2 linked regions of the Lepisosteus oculatus genome follow. The protein of the gene in region 2 binds, or shares a complex with, the protein of the main gene of each other region. Links are inferred from orthologs where the notes say so. Each region holds a gene or a part of one and is shown on either strand. Other genes may lie near its edges.

Region 1 (7,705 bases), on a different chromosome or scaffold from region 2:
ACAATGTCTTGAGTGCTGTAAAAGTACAAACAAATAGATCTATTTAATAGAAAATTAGGTGTTTTTTACACTGTTCACATTTAATATAATACTGATGTGTGTATGAGACTCCCTTTACCTTACATTCTAAAAAGAAAAGGGGCTTTGAAAATGCTACAGTAATAACATTTGTACAGTAACTCTCTGCCATTGGGGCTTTGTCGCCTTTATATAAAGAATGTTATTTCCCAGGACCCTTGGGAACTGGCAAGAGTCTTACCTTAGGACATGAGCCCTCAAAATAATATCCCTGATGATGACGGATTCCAAAATAGACTTGGTTAGGAAAGAGAGGCAAAAATCTGAGCATGAAGGTTTCCCGCTGATCCATGTAGAACTAACATTCTTCCCTATAACCAGCAGTGCCTACGGCTTCAACCACTATCAATACCAATACAATTGAAAAAAAAATTAGAATGTCACTTCTTAAATGCTCCCCATTTAATATTGCCATTAGCGGAAAAGCTTGATACCGCAAATTGTGTACTGCAGTAAGCTTTTCTGACATACCAGTGTTGGTACAGATGTGCATGCTACAGTACTTCAGAGAGACATTGTAAATTGCCTTAATAACCTGAGACAAAAATATTTATTTGTATTTATCATAAAGCATACAAAATCTGTGAAACCTTGCTGTAAATAGAAATTGTTATGGATTCTGAACACTTTACACCAGATAATAATGTTTAAGGTTATACTGATGAACAAAAGAGCAATAAGTTCATATTCCACATAGCAATATCACAAAAATCAAATTCAAACATAGCTATTATTTCTACAAAAGACAGTGCTACAGTACGTGCACCTGGCAGTTAACATGTACACTTACAAACACACATTACAATGGTATTTACATGTATATAACCATTATGACTCTTTATTAAATCACCTTAAATGAATCCAGTCTGTTTTTTGGTTCAGTGGTGCATAAATAATGCTCTAACCTCCAGGAGTCATTATTAATAATGGTCTAACCTCTAGGAGTCACTATTGTACTTTTTACTTAAGCCATTGCTGTCCTACACACACATGGACATACTGAAAAAAACACAAGACATTCAAACAGATATTTGAGACTTGAACTTTCTGGATCTCAGCATTCAACACTATTCTCAAATGGCAAACTGAAAAGGAGAGCTGAGGTGGCAGGGACAAGAGTGGTCTGATTGGTGTGATTCAGGGCTGTGGTGTTGCAGATAGGCTTTACCAGCTGGAGTCCTCATTGAGAAGCCAAAACTTACAAGGCATTGGGCACCGACAGCTCAAATGTAGGGAAAGGATTCCCTTCTGTGATAGTTAAGGAAGTGGGGGATGAGCAAGACAACACTCACCAATTTTTACCGTAATACGATTGAGTCCTGACTGGTGGTATTACGGTTTGGTATGGTGGAGCTACAGTACAGGACAGAAAAGCCATACAGAGGGTTGTGAAGTCCGCGCAGAAAATCACTGGTACCAAGCTACCCTCCATCGACCAGATATATCTCTTCCACTGCCACAACCGGGTTCGAGCTTTAATTTGGGACCCAATTCACCCTGGCCATGATCTGTTTTCACTCCTGGGTTCTGGTAGGAGGTATTTCTTTCCCCAAGTAGTCCGCATCATAAACAGCTCAAATTAGCACCTGCACATATTAGCACCTGCACTTTAAGGTACTGCACTGTTTGCACTATGTCCCGTAGGCTATATTCTAATGTCTATTGTCTACATTTATTGTCCATGTCTGTATGGCATTTGTGCCTATTTTTTCTCTCTCTAATGTTATAGCTGAACAAGTAAGCATTCCAATACACTTGTGGTATGTGGCAAATAAAGAAATCTTGAATCTTGCATCTTCTCATAACTGCCAGGCAATATATGTCAACCTTGTCCATTTGTTCATTCATGCTGTTCATCTTGGCGGTGGGGTAGCTCTGTGGCTAAGGATCTGCGCCTGTGGCTGGAAGGTTGCTGGTTTGTATCCCGCAGCTGGCAGAGGAATCCTACTCTGTTGGGCCCCTGAGCAAAGTCCTTAACCCCTACTGCTCCAGGGGCACTATATACAGTAAATGGCTGACCCCGTGCTCTGACCCCAAGCTTCTCTCCCTGTCTGCCTCTCTCATGGAGAGCAAGTTGGGGTATGTGAAAAGACTAATTCCTAATACAAGAAATTGTATATGACCAATAAAGTTATCGTAGCGTATCTATTTTCTATCCAACACAAGGAGATGGGTGATTCAGAACCTATCCCAACAAGCACCAGGCACAAGGCAGAATACACACTGAACAGATGCCAATCGATCACAGTGCACACAGACACAAACACAAGCACAAGCTCCCAGCAGGGACAATTTTTCCAGAAGCAAATTCACCTACCAGTATGTTTTTGGACTGTAGAAGAAAAGCAGAGCACCTAAAGAAAACACTCATGAAGAGAGAACATACAAACACCATACAGATAGCAATGCTAACCACTGTGCCACCCATGCCAATGTTGTTTGTACTTGAATTGATTTTTGTATATAAACCAATGGCTGTCTCCTTTTAGAGTGTGGGTTTACAGTGGAGGATTATTTATTCCATTCACAGATGCAGATTTAAGAAAAGATTTGGGCTTTAAGCAATTGCCTATTTACTGTTTTTCTCAAGCTTCCCATTGTCCATGAGAATATGGAAGAGGCCTATTGACCTTGCTCAGTAACTTCTAGAGTTTATGCTTAGCTCCAATAATTTGTTTGAACCCAAGCTGGTGCCAAAACTGTCTAATATATAACTTTTACTGTATTATCAATTAAAACCCCCTCACAAGCAAAACATGAGACATCAAGATATGTCATTTTTCAAGCCTCTCATAGCTGCATTTGTGCTCTGCATTCCTCTGCTGGAATTTGATCATGGTTGCTCATTGGCTTAGGGTATAGACAGAGCCACCCTCTGGACATCAGCAGATATTGCTACACCACAGGGTGGGCCTTCTGCTGCAGAAGAGTTCTGCATTGTCTGGAGTTCAAGTAGATGACTTAGCATAGAACAGTTATAGACAAGAGGCTTTATGGCCCACCTAGTCCATTTGGCAGGGTAGTTAATCCAAGAGCGTCATCTTCTCAAACAGACTTCAGTGCCACTGAACCATCCATGTTCTAAACCAGTATTATCTTAACCATCATTTTGTTATCCAGTACAGGGTCATAAGGAAATCCAGAGCCTTATACACCCTGGATGGGACACTAGTCCATCACACACAGGGCAGACACAGACTAAAACACACATACTCACGCCAATTAATTCTTCCAGTATGTCTTTGAACTGTGGGAGGAAACCATAGCATCCAGAGGAAACTGAAGGGAACACAGGGAGGACACACCAACTCCATGCAGAGAGCACCTGTGCCCCAGCGCCACAAAGCAACAAAGCTAACCATTGCACCACCCTTCCACCCTTTACACCTACAACAAATATGATTTTATGAACCCATTTCTACATGAAAGTTATATTAAACTTTCTTGATGTAAAAAATACAGCTTATACAGCTTTATCTCTGGAGGAAAGGCATGATTAAAATACACATATGCAAGTATGGTGATCTGTTATTAAAACTACAGTATTAAGATAAAGATCAACATCAAATTTCTTAAAATGTCCCATGCAGTTAATAAGAACATTTAAAATCCAAGATTGTCTTCCCCTCAATGTGGTCTGATACAGTGACATGTAAATGCTCACTTCTTTACCTGAACTGCTGCGAATCATAGCTGTCAGGTGTCATCCATGTAGGTGCTGCCCTACAGTGGTAGATGGTTTAAGTGGGTCATTAAAGCACTTTGGGATCATTTGAGACAAAAAAAAAATCATATGCAGTATAAATGTAACGAATTTTCATTCCATGAAAGTTTTAGAGGATACCGGTACTAAACAGCTGAAAGGGCAAATGTAATGCAGTTAAACAAATGGTATCAAGGCACTGCTCATTGTATTAAAAAATCTTCCTAAATGCATTATTAAGAATTATTTAAGTTAGATATCTTTAGGTTAGGTTTAGTAAACCATTTTACCCTAAATACCCCTTAATCTTATCTGCAACCTGGAAAGAAGCACGCTGTAATATGTACTGTAACTTTGTGATTAGTCCTAAACATAAAGCCTTTGCCGGTTCCTTCAGCGTTCAACGTTTTTCTGCTGTTTTCAATAGTATGTCTTGTTTCATTCTACCAAAACCCACAGCCAGAGTTGCACAAAATACCATATAACTCACTCCAGCACATAAGGATTACAGTACGAATACTAGAAATGGCGTTTTGCCAAACCAGATTTGTTTGAATTGTACTTTCTATCAGGAGCGTCATAGCTCGCCAGAAAAGCCTTTTCCAATAGTTTTTTCAGTGTCGTGGTTGGAGTCCGAAGATTAACTTCGACTTTGCGTTACTCGGAGAATGTGTTTCCCTTTGCGGCTGCCGTAGAAAACCCGAGCGTATAAATCGGCTATTGGCTCCATCGCTCTCTTAGAGTTTTGAGATAAATCGTGTTTGAAACGAAACGGTAAGTTTTAATTGTGTGTGTATTTAGCCCGGTATTATTAATATGTGGAGTTTAGGTGACGTTTATAAGTGATGTGCAGCTTTACTACAAACATTTTTCAAGGGGTTAAGAGCAGTTTTCGGTATTGTATGTGGAGCGAAGGCCTTTTCCTGACGAATTTTATTGTAGCGATAGAGCATGCAGGAATGGTTATGTCGAATGTTATTTTATACATTTCTGATAGCTATCGCCGTCATATTTTAAAAAAAAAGCTCTTGAACTCTCTCTTGGTTCGTAATACTATCGATTTTAAGTTTACTCTAATTACGAAGCTTAAAATGATGCTCTTTCTGTATAGTTAGTTTTTAAGCTGGGTTGTGTGTTTTACTTAAATGCTAGTCCTACTGTAATATACACCTGCCGACGCAGTTACATTAATTGTGCTAGAATAGGAGGCTTCATTGCTGTTGTCAATCAAATGAGCTTGCTGCGTTTGTGCTTGTGTAGTTAATCTCTACGTTTTGAATGTATCGGTATATACTACTTCTGTACTGTTCCAAGTAGTTATCCTACAATATATCGTTGTTTTGTAATGTCGTTCTACCATTACCGTCCTGTCTAATAACTTTATGACGTGCCTCGCCAGCCGACATGAGTCTCCGGAAGCAAACCCCTAGTGATTTTCTGAAACAAATCATCGGAAGACCAGTAGTGGTGAAACTGAACTCTGGTGTCGATTACAGAGGTAAGACTTGGGTAACTTTTGGAGTTGGAGTATCCAGTCATCTTTAAACCACGGCCATACACATTTGGTACAATAGGAAGCATTTACTTTAATAAGTGAGAGCACATCCTTCCGCTGTTGAATAGTGGCCACATAAATGCCCAGTCGGAGCTCTGGTTCCACTCTTTCACAAGTGGAGTATGAGTCATTCTTGTACTAGTTTGAAACTGCTCTAAAGTACAACCTTGATTAAGGCTTTTCAGCTGAGGCACTGTGAGACACTGAACTACTCTCTGGATGTTCCTTTGCATCTTTCAAAACTGGTGCATAGCAACCCCCACATCCAAAATAAAATTAAATCGAGAATGGCAATGAGACACCCCCACGCCCAGTAAATGAGCTGCAGATGTGGAAATAACATGCTTCTTGATGCGTTCTTGACCAGTTCATGTTGGGGTGTGGGTACTGCCATTCCAAATAGATGTTGCACAGCATGTTGTGGTATGTCCTGAAGTGTCTTGGGTATGGTCCATTGGTACTGGCAGTATCTGCTGTGACAGTTTTAAAATAAAGCCTCGTACTGTATCAGTTCTCCAGTCTAGCAGGAGACTGTAGTGGTGAATTGGACTGAATAACATTCGATTAGTCTGTTGGAATTTGTTTTAATTTTAAGGCTTTAAAAGGCAGTGTGCTTCTTGGATAAAGTGAGAAGGGAACTGTGGCATTACTTAATGAGCCTTTCCACTGTCTATGTGCAGGAGTCTTGGCCTGTCTGGATGGCTACATGAACATTGCTGTGGAACAGACAGAGGAGTATGTCAATGGGCAGCTGAAGAATAAGTATGGAGATGCTTTCCTGCGGGGAAACAATGGTAGGTTGGCCTTTTTCACTTTTTTTGTAGCATTTTCATAGGTGAGGTGGAGCAAGAATATGCAACAAGCTGGTCTTAGTAGTCGTGCCAACATAGATTATAAATGGTTTTTATCATTTCTATAATGGCAGCTATATCACAGCTCACAACTGGTAACCCACTGAAGCTCAGCAGGTGTGAGCCTGGCCAGTACCTGGATGGGAGGCCTCCTGGGAAAAGCTAAGGTCGCTGCTGGAAGAGGTGTTAGTGGGACCACTAGGTAGCTCTTGCACCTGTGGTCTCTGTGGCTCCTAAAGTCCCACTTACGGTATAGTGATGGGGACACTATACTGTAAAAAAGATGCAATCCTTCAGGTGAGATACAAAACCGAGGCCCCGACAGTCCATTGTCATTAAAAATCTCTGGGCATATCTCAAAAAGAGTAGTCCATATTTCCCCCTGGCCTTTACCAATCTTGGCCTCCCAGTAATCCGCATCTATGCTTTGGTTTTATCACTCTGTTCTCCCCACTGATAGCTGGTGTATGGTGAACATATTGGTACTCTTTGCCTGCCATTGTATCATCCAGGTGGTGGTGGTGGAGGGGAGTCCCCATTAGCTGTAAAGTGCTTTTGAGTGGAGTGTCTAGAAAAGTTATACAAGTATAAGGAATTAACTGTCTTTTCTATTTACTTTTATATCTAGCCATCTGTAGCATAACTTATTTGTATTAGTTTCCGATTTCAGTAGGATTTTGTAATGAACTACATCACTTGCAATGTATACTATAGTGTTGTCTTTGACATTGTGGTGCTTTAAGATGCATAATCAAGAATCATGCCATAAATAATCAAGTATGTTGACATGTATCAAGGCAACTGCTAAATCGTTTAAAATCATTTTGCAGAGATTGTTCCGAAAAATGCAGAATCCACTAGACAAAAAATGGCAAATCGTTAATTTGTTGCTTTAACGGAATACTAATGTTTAGTAGATTATTGTGAATATCATGATGGCAGCATTCCCAACTGACTTGTATATCTTGTCAGATCTCAGAGACAAAGCTGGGCTGGGCCTGGTCATTCCTTGAATTGGAGACATTCCTTGCTGCTGTCTTGTAGCAGCCAATAATGACAGCTCTGTAGTTCAAAACCAGTTTCCCCAGTGTGGTTATGGAGCACTTGGTCATTAACTGTCCCATGGGGCAGAGAAGAGGTTTTAAGCTTCTACGATTTTGCCCTCTCTAGATTTTCTCATTAATTCAGTTGAAGTCATTTCTCTGTTCCCCATTTGTTCTGCATCGTCCAGGTGGGTGCTGCTCTTAAGATATGGGTGAATTGGGTCTCTTTCCATAGGTTAAGCTCTTTTGGAGGAAAAGGACTATACCCATGCAAGGAATTAATGAATATTTGTTTTCCTTCAGCCTACTTAAGTGTCATTTTTTCCCCAATGGTGTTTACTTTTTCAGACCAGTTATTCACTATCGGTAACAAAATAAATTGATGGTATCAATAAATCTTTTACAAATTTGGAATGATGCACAATTTTGAATTTTGTGAAAACAGTTTATGATCACCATGTCAAAAACTGCTGGT
Region 2 (8,267 bases):
ACACATGCAGATGACAATGGTGGACATGTTCATACATTAAAAACAAACACTTGCTTTGTCTGTACATACATTTATTTTTAAAAAAAAATCAACAATTCAGGAAAAAAAAAACATCCTAAACATACAAAACGTACCCCCTTCCAAAACCAAAAGAAACCTATTTTCCGGTGATGAGGGGGTTCCTCAGCACCACGATGACCGAATCACCCCGCAGGAACATCTTGGAAATGTAGCGGTCCTTGTTAACGGGCTTGGACTTCTTCTTTCCCTTGCCGCTCTTCGGAACCTCGGTCCACATCTCCTTCACGTTCTCCAGCACCATGTTGCAGTGCCTGCGAGGGGGGAGAGGAGAGACGGGGGTCAGTGCGGATGAGGCGCTCTCCCGGGGGCTTCGGAGATGCTGGTCCCTCCACCCCCCCGGACGCCAGGAGAACACGAGTCTGGTTTCAGTGTCCATCATGCGGGCCTGGTCGCGTGCGGTGTGACCTTGCAAACCAGCAGGAGCACGTTGGTAAGCTGATAAGTAATGTCCACATGAGACGCTCTCCTCACGCCAGCTACAGGCCTTGGGACAAATTCCCCTTTCTCCAAAGAAAAAGGATCAAATTACAATAATTTCTCAGTGGGGAATATCAATCTTTTCCAGTTTGTTGTTGACCAAATAATCTTAATCCAATGTACACTTACAACACACTGAGGACTGGAGGATGATTTTGTTCCAGTTAATAAACTCAGACCCATCTCCTCTGGTATCAGCCCACCTGAGCTCTTCCTCAGCATCAACAACTCATAAGCATTCAGGTGTTTGGATTTTAAGCAACTGGACAATGAGGACTTATTCCTAACGTGCTTTATAACAACAAAAAATAAACCATAAAATAAAATATATACCATATAGTTAATTCCAGCAACAGGCATGCAATAGTTTGGTAGTAAAATTGTGGAGGATTTGGTTTGCTAAATACAGCACAACACCCTGAGAGGTTTGAAGAGTCAGAATTTATTAAGCTCTGGAATTGTCACCACCTGACTTAGATTAACGAGTCAATTAGGTTCAATTCACGGTTTTATTTTTCCAATCTGTTAAATTCAGCAAGTAAATAGTGACTGCACTGAAATCAGCAGAAATATGTCGAGTTTAAGTTTGTTCGCTGCAGAGGTTTTGTTAACTTATTTTCACTTAGAAAATGAACAAAACACGTAATGTGGCCTGGGGCGCCCAGATGTTTGCATACAACCGTATAAGGTTAAACTTACAGCAGGGTATAAATGCAAGCAAGGAGGGGGTATTTCTCCTCCAGGGCTAGGAGCCACTGAGTTACATCAGCGAGGGAAATAAAAGACACGACCGTCTTCCAAGGGAAAGGTTATTACCACAGCTGCCTGTGACTCCCTGAACTAGGGCAGAAAATAACAACAGGGTGCCTTCTTATTTCAGCAACAGGCGCGATGGGACACAGGCACCTCTGCCTGGGAGTGCCAGGAGCCCAAGGAGGTCTGTTATCTATGCTATCAAGCCAGCAGTCAATAATAACCATCCTGACTGATTCGGCATCACAGAATAAATGGAAAATTTGTCCAGAACGCCGGGGAAACACCCTGGGATCTTTAATGACCACAGAGAGTCAGGACCTCGGTTTTATTCATCTGAAGGATGGCGCCTTTTTTACAGTATAGTGTCCCTGTCACTATACTGGGGCATTAGGACCCACATGGACCGCAGGGTGAGCGCCCCCTACTGGTCCAACCTCTTCCGGCAGTAAACAGTTTTTCCCCGGAGTCTCCCATCCAGGTACTGACCAGGATGACACTGCTGAGCTTCAGCGGGCTGCCAGCGGGGAGCTGCAGGGTGATAGAGCTGCTGGCCATCCTAGTTTAAATCAGCCATCAGTTACACAAAAGGGCTGGCGGCTGCCTCCCGGAGGAGCCGGGATGGGGGGGTGTGTGCGGGACGGGGCGGCGGCGGCCCGTACCTGTCGAAGGCCTTAACGCGGCCCAGCAGCTTCTTGTTGTTGCGGCAGTTGATGAGCACCTGCGTGTTGTTTTTGACCGACTGGGTGAGCACGGACAGGGGCCCGGTGTTGAACTCCTCCTCCTCGCGCTTCTGCAGCTCCTCGGGGGTCATCTCCGACTTGGGCTTGTTCAGCAGACTCCTGCCCGCGGGAGAGAGAGAGGGAGAGATCAGAGGGGCACTGCGCTGCACTTAACGGCCAGGCAGAGAGACAGCAAGACCGGCACTGTAAAAAAGCTCCAGAGGGGATCTGGGCCAGCGTGTGAGTTTAACTCTCGCCTGGGTCGGCACATTCCACACATCCCTGACTTCTCTCTGGACTTCAACCTCAGATTACCGCTCCTCTGGATACCTCCTCACTTGCCCTCTTATTATTCTCTTCACAAACCAGTTGGTCCATAGTCATCCTCCTTTCCTCTTCCTCCCTCACACACGAGGAAGGCTCCGCAAGCGAACTGTTGGGATTTTCTATTTTCCAGATTGGGACTTCTTTACTCCGTTTTGCAAGAAAAAGGGTATGCATACCGGTATTAAAGTTTGTTCGATATGTGTTTGTTCACTACTAGTTACCAAACGGCATCTTCCGTGACACTGTAGAAACCTGCAGCCGAATATACAGCCCAGGAGAGAGTAATTATGAGGATCGCTCCCAGCCAATTAAAGTCAAACTGTTATTTAAAGTTTACGTTTGCGAAACGACTACCGTGAACACCCGTATTTCTATACAACCGTGCTCCGAGCTCAGCAGTCTCGGCCCCGTTGCTAAATGCAGGAAACACACGACCGTAGCGCGTAGGTCAATTCACAGCCGAGGAAATGCAAGACTGTGGGCATTACATGATAAGAAATTAAAAAGAAAACACCCCACGCGGGATTTGAGAACCACGATGCTTGACCGAAAACGCGCTGCAAGCTTTAACAAAGGCGCCGGCCGCCTCCATGGGCTTCAAACACGGCGACGCGGTTCACATTAACATCCGTCCCCGACTGAATTTACAACAAACTACTGCTTACTTACATGTTTTTTACTTGGCGATGTTAATTATAAGACGAAATGTTTACTGTGTTGAAAATAATTCGCCAAAAAACAACCCCTCTTCCCACCAGCGCAAGTCCACAGAACTACCGTCCGCTCCTTCCACTTTCTACAAGCGCTTCCGGGTTACCACGCAGGCGCTCTGCACACTTCCGTTCGGAGGCCGATCTCTCGCGAGCGCACGGTGCCCGTCTCTTCGCGCACGGACTTGGCAGGAGCCGTGAGTGTCACCCAGAGCGTGTCATCCACAGCAACGTTTAAAGACTGTAGGCTTGCAAAACTTTGTTAGTCATCTTAGATTAATAATGTGAATGTTAAATTTAAGGAGCTTGTTATCATGTTATGCTTTTCAATATGTAATATCGAAAAATATTTATATTTAATGTTGTTAATAATAGGTAAATATCACATTCAAAAACAAAAAGGACTAATGCTACCCCTCCTCTAATGCTAACAAGCCCAGAATGCCATATCACTTAAATTACAATAAGTACGTGAAAAATAACTCCGGCAACATATTGTTCTGTGTTTTTTCCACTTGACTTTTTTGGGTACCCTTTCTCCTTATATGTGTTATTTGATGTTCATTAAAACTTTGAAAAAATGTTTTTCTTTAATGATGTTCATTAAAACAATGAAAAACACACATGTTTAGGGAGACACTTAAATAAAATATATTTTGTCCAATTTTTTACTAAACTAGTAACCTTTCTACTGTTTAATAAGTATTTTGTAATGAAGTGTGTGATGAATTCACTGTCTATGGTGGTACAGTCAGTATTGCTCCCTCACAGTGCTGGGCCCCAGGGTTCAGTTCCAGACCTGGGGTACTGTCTGTGTGGAGTTTGCAAGGGTAAACTCCAGGTGATCCCGTTTCTTCCCACAGCCCAAGGACACGTTGGTAGTTAATTGGATTCTGGGAAAATCAAGGCTGGTACGATTTTGTCTGTGTGGCTCAGTGATGGACTGGCATCCTGTCCAGGGTGTTCCCTGCCTAGTGCTACTGCTTCCTGGTCCCAACTGATCCTGAATTGGATGAAGCTGTCAGAAAACGGATGAACAGAAAAATAAGTATCAGGGCTGTACACAGTGCACAGATTAGTTTTGATAAAAATAACTATAGCTTCCTTGCAACATCAATAATAAATGCATTTGTTTCCTATTTTGTGATATGTTCAACAATTTCCAAAACACTCCATTTTATGGTAGGCAAGACAACTTCCAAATGAAACAAAAGCAGTACACTGCAAGACATATAAACCGTAATTGTTAACTCAAACAACAGCACACAGAGATGGCTCTTTAGGAAACACTTTTTTGGTGTTTCCATTTCCTCTCAGCTCTCAGAGATGTTCAGGCTGGATGAGTTGTTGTCTGTAACTGTCCCTGTGTGCGCGTGTGGGCGAGTGGGTGTGTGATATCTGAGAATGTCTGATCTTCTGCATGTGGTCTCATCTTGCATAATACAATTGATGAAATGTCAAAACCCACTCAGCGTTCATAAAATGTATTCAGTTCTGATCACCACACAGAACAAAAGAACGTTATCATTATCACAGTGCAGAATGAGCTCAGTGAAGAGTGACTAGAATGATTCCTAGTCTCAAGGGATTGTCCTAGACGTGTTCAAGGAACTAAATCCCTTCAGTCTAGAGCACAGGAAAATCAGATGCAATTGGTGTTTAAAATACTAGAAGATCTAAAGATAGGGTCAAATAGATTAGAATAATCCAGAATAAGAAACTCTTCTTCAGCCAGAGTGATGCAGATTGCTGAGGCCCAGACTCAGAGGAGACTTCATAAGAGGAGGAGCCCAGAGTTTCTGATGGACAGCTCAAGACCGTGCAAGAGGTCCAGAGGGGAGAAGGTAGAACAGAACAGCGCCCCTCCTTCCTACTGCGCAGGCGAGGGAGGGAGGGGCGGACTGGAGCGGGAGGGGGCGAGGCCGCACACACAGGTGTCCCTTTGTTGGGAGCCGGAGAGGAGAGGGAGATGGGTATCTGTGCTGGCTCAGGAGCCGGAGAATGCCCTGCCATTGTAAAGGCGCAGGCAGAGGCCGCTGGGGATTGGCTTACTGGCACGAGACAGCCCGGCGCCTGGGGGGCTGCCCAGCGCCTCCCCTCCCCTCCCTCGCTCACCCTCTTCAAACGCGGAGCTCGTCTCCGACTGCGCGCCTCTCCGGTCTCCCCGTGCTGCCCAGAGCCATCGCAAGAGCTACCGCCTGCAAGATCCCATTGAACAGCACAGGAGACAAAAAACCACCGCGCGACCACAGGAGCAGCTGACTGGCCTGGTAGAGTGGACATCAAAAAAGAGCCACATGAGAGCTCTCCGAGCCCTTCGGCAGCCTGCTGACTGCTCAAGGGGTGTGTGACACTGATCCCAGGAAGCTCAGTGTCTCCCACTCTTCCCATCACCCCTTGCAGGCCTCCAGTGTATGCAGAGCCTCCATGCTGTCCGTAAGAATTCCGCTGGCCCGGAATGAATCACATCCTTCATTCAGCCAGCAGGCAAATATTACAAACCCGAAGCGCCGGGAACGTTGCGTCGCATTTGCAGGTCGTGTGGCACCCTGCCAGCGGCTGTGGAGCTGGCAACGTGTCAAAATCCCACCAGTGCATTATTATCGAACAAACGTGTTGAGAAACTCAAAGCTCCGTACAATAGCCCAGGTCAACACAGCACGGCGACAAAGGAAAGGAGTAAAGCAGCACAGACTGATCCAGTGAGACCAGGAGTGCAGACGCTGAGGGGAGGTGATGGGTGTTTAAGCCACCAGTGGCAGTGAATTCCACAGGTGCAGAGCGTCCTGTGTGGGGTTTGCGATGTGCAGCAGACAGCAGCTTTAGTGTTTGCCTTCGTCTCTTGATACAGCAACCTCAGAAAAATGGCAGCCTTGTTTCCATACGGCTTTCAGACCAAAAAAAAGGAATTCCCATTTCTGAGCGATCCATCACACAGCTTTCCAGGAGCAGAGTCCTTCCCCCAGGTTTTGCGTCAAACACACTGTTAGACCCTCATGTCCATATGACAGCTGGGCAGCACACTCAAGCCTCCTTCTCCTTCCCGCAGGGGAGAGAGATCACAGTGAAGCCTGAAGAATCGGGGTGAAGGTGTGGCAGAGCAAGGTGGAAAACCGTGCCAATTGGCCACATCTGTCATTTTACTGGGGCTCCAGTTCTCCCTTGTAGGGCATCTTCTCCCCGACAGCGCCACCCACTGGTTCTCCTGCAGTCTCTGAATCCGCTCCCGGAGCAGGTTGAGCTTCTCCAGCACATTACTCATGGAGGCTTCTGATAATGTGGGTGTGTTTATGAGCAGATTAACTTACGTAAAGGCAGGTTAAGAAGTACCGAGCTATTAAACCTGTTTTTATCTTCATTGCTGACAGCTATTCAGGCAAACTCATGACCCCTGATTTAGGTATCTAGTGCCAGCAGCGGAAACGCAGTCTCTCTCTTCTCCTGTGCTGGAGGTCTGAACCAGCGGCACGCTGCGCCAGCCTGGCCTGGCCCTGTCCTGTCCTGTCCTGTCCTGGCTCTCTCCAGGCCCCATGGGCTGGTCTGTCCTGTCCTTTGGGAGAACAGTGGGCACAACAGATGCTCTCAGGCGCCGTCACAGCAATCCGGCTGCAGACCAGTCAGATGATGATTTACAGTCTCCCACATCAGGACAGTGTTGAGTAATTAGCTCTGTACGACAGCAGCTCATTATTTATCACCATGATTAATTGTCGACCAGCTCAAATTACTGCAGCCTCGGGACTTTGTGGGTTTAGCTCACCCACAACCTCTCTCTCCCTCTCTCTTTCATTCTCCATTTCCCATTCACACTCTCTCTCTCTCAGTGCTTTGTGAATCTCCTTCTCTTCTATCATTTATAGAAACCTCTCAGCCCTGGGCAGACAGTGCAGGTGGTTGTAAAATTCTGCCGATGCACAGTGTGTCAATAACCATGTTTTTCTTCCTCCCACTAGAATCCATTCTCGTTCGATTCTGACAGATCAGAGAGCCACATTGACAACATCAGAACTTTGCTGTGAGTCGGAGAGCTCTCTGAGCTGCTCACCAGCAGATAAAGCAATGAGCTGCAGGCAGTAACTGACAGCCTGTTGACTGGGTGCCAAGTCTGTCCTCAGCAGCGTCTAGCTTCCTGTGCTTCTCTTCAGTGCTGTTTGCAAATCTTTCTGACAAAAAAAGGTGAGAAAAAGTTCATCCTAAACAGACAATGACCTCATCCCTCTTTGTAACAGAAGAGGCGAGTTTATGATCTCACTATCTCTAAAACAAAGTGAGCGACCTGTTCGTGTCAAAGTCTTTTTCTTTTTGGGGAGCTGGAAGAGTGTCAAAAGGCACGGGTTCTTTGCAGGGTAACAAAAGGTGCATTGCATGTCAGCTACATGATGGCCTCAGCTTTTCACCTCCTCGAGATACTGCTGCAGGCAGAACTGCTGGCACCCTGTTTGTGAAAGAAGGACATTTCCTGGGCACCATCCCCAAAGACATTGGGAGAGTTCACACTAAGGATTCTTCAGAATCCACAGGGAAAAACGAACTAGAGGACGCAAGCACAAACTCGAAGGAAGTGCATTTACAACTGAGGACAGGTGACATTTCTTTGCACAAAGATTAGTGAGAGCATCCAATACCCTGGCTTCATTCAAGATACATCTAGACGAGAACTTCAGATCAATTACCTACTAACATGCAAGTGAGCTAGATAGGCACAATTTGTTTTTTAAAACTGTCTTATGTTATCAAAGCACTTCCTATAACTGTAGGTTGATCTATTGTAAGTCTCCTGCTCTTGAAATCACTCCAGAAAAAGATGCGCATTCAGTATCTATTTGGCAGTTGGACTCAGCTGGACACCAACGGCTCAGACCAGCCTTGATGAAGTCTGCCGAGCTGCTGTCCGCTCTCCTTCCTCGATGACTGGCAGACTGCAGCGGCTGCCTGCGTGTGCAACCTGAGCCAGGCCTATTAATGTAATGGTGCCCCCGGGAGAGCTAACCACTAACCTGGGAGAGGGGGAGTGCCGTGAGTGCGTGAGGAAGAGGGGACAGCGAGGCGCGTGCTGGTCGCACTGCCACAGCGCTCACACACCACCTCAGCCCCTCACGCTGCCTCTGGCCACTCCCACGCCCAGGACAATCTGTTTGGACACATGGAGGCGAATCACAACTACCAATAATCCTCACACTTAAATAGCACTTTTCTG

The links. Proteins that work in one complex are often made in the same cells at the same time.
Region 1: snrpd2 (region 2) and lsm6 share a complex: the UniProt entries of both Homo sapiens proteins name them as parts of the U4/U6-U5 tri-snRNP complex. The link is inferred for Lepisosteus oculatus from reciprocal best matches to the Homo sapiens genes SNRPD2 and LSM6.

What each region holds. Positions count from the first base shown.
Region 1 is NC_090696.1:27,004,322-27,012,026, reverse strand, and holds the start of lsm6 (U6 snRNA-associated Sm-like protein LSm6), read left to right. Parts: upstream 1-4,444; 5' UTR 4,445-4,555; intron 4,556-5,180; 5' UTR 5,181-5,185; coding exon 5,186-5,279; intron 5,280-6,016; coding exon 6,017-6,130; intron 6,131-7,705. UniProt on the Homo sapiens protein: Plays a role in pre-mRNA splicing as component of the U4/U6-U5 tri-snRNP complex that is involved in spliceosome assembly, and as component of the precatalytic spliceosome (spliceosome B complex).
Region 2 is NC_090698.1:1,335,108-1,343,374, forward strand, and holds the start of snrpd2 (small nuclear ribonucleoprotein Sm D2), read right to left. Parts: upstream 3,178-8,267; 5' UTR 3,032-3,177; coding exon 3,030-3,031; intron 2,154-3,029; coding exon 1,974-2,153; intron 333-1,973; coding exon 158-332; 3' UTR 1-157. UniProt on the Homo sapiens protein: Plays a role in pre-mRNA splicing as a core component of the spliceosomal U1, U2, U4 and U5 small nuclear ribonucleoproteins (snRNPs), the building blocks of the spliceosome.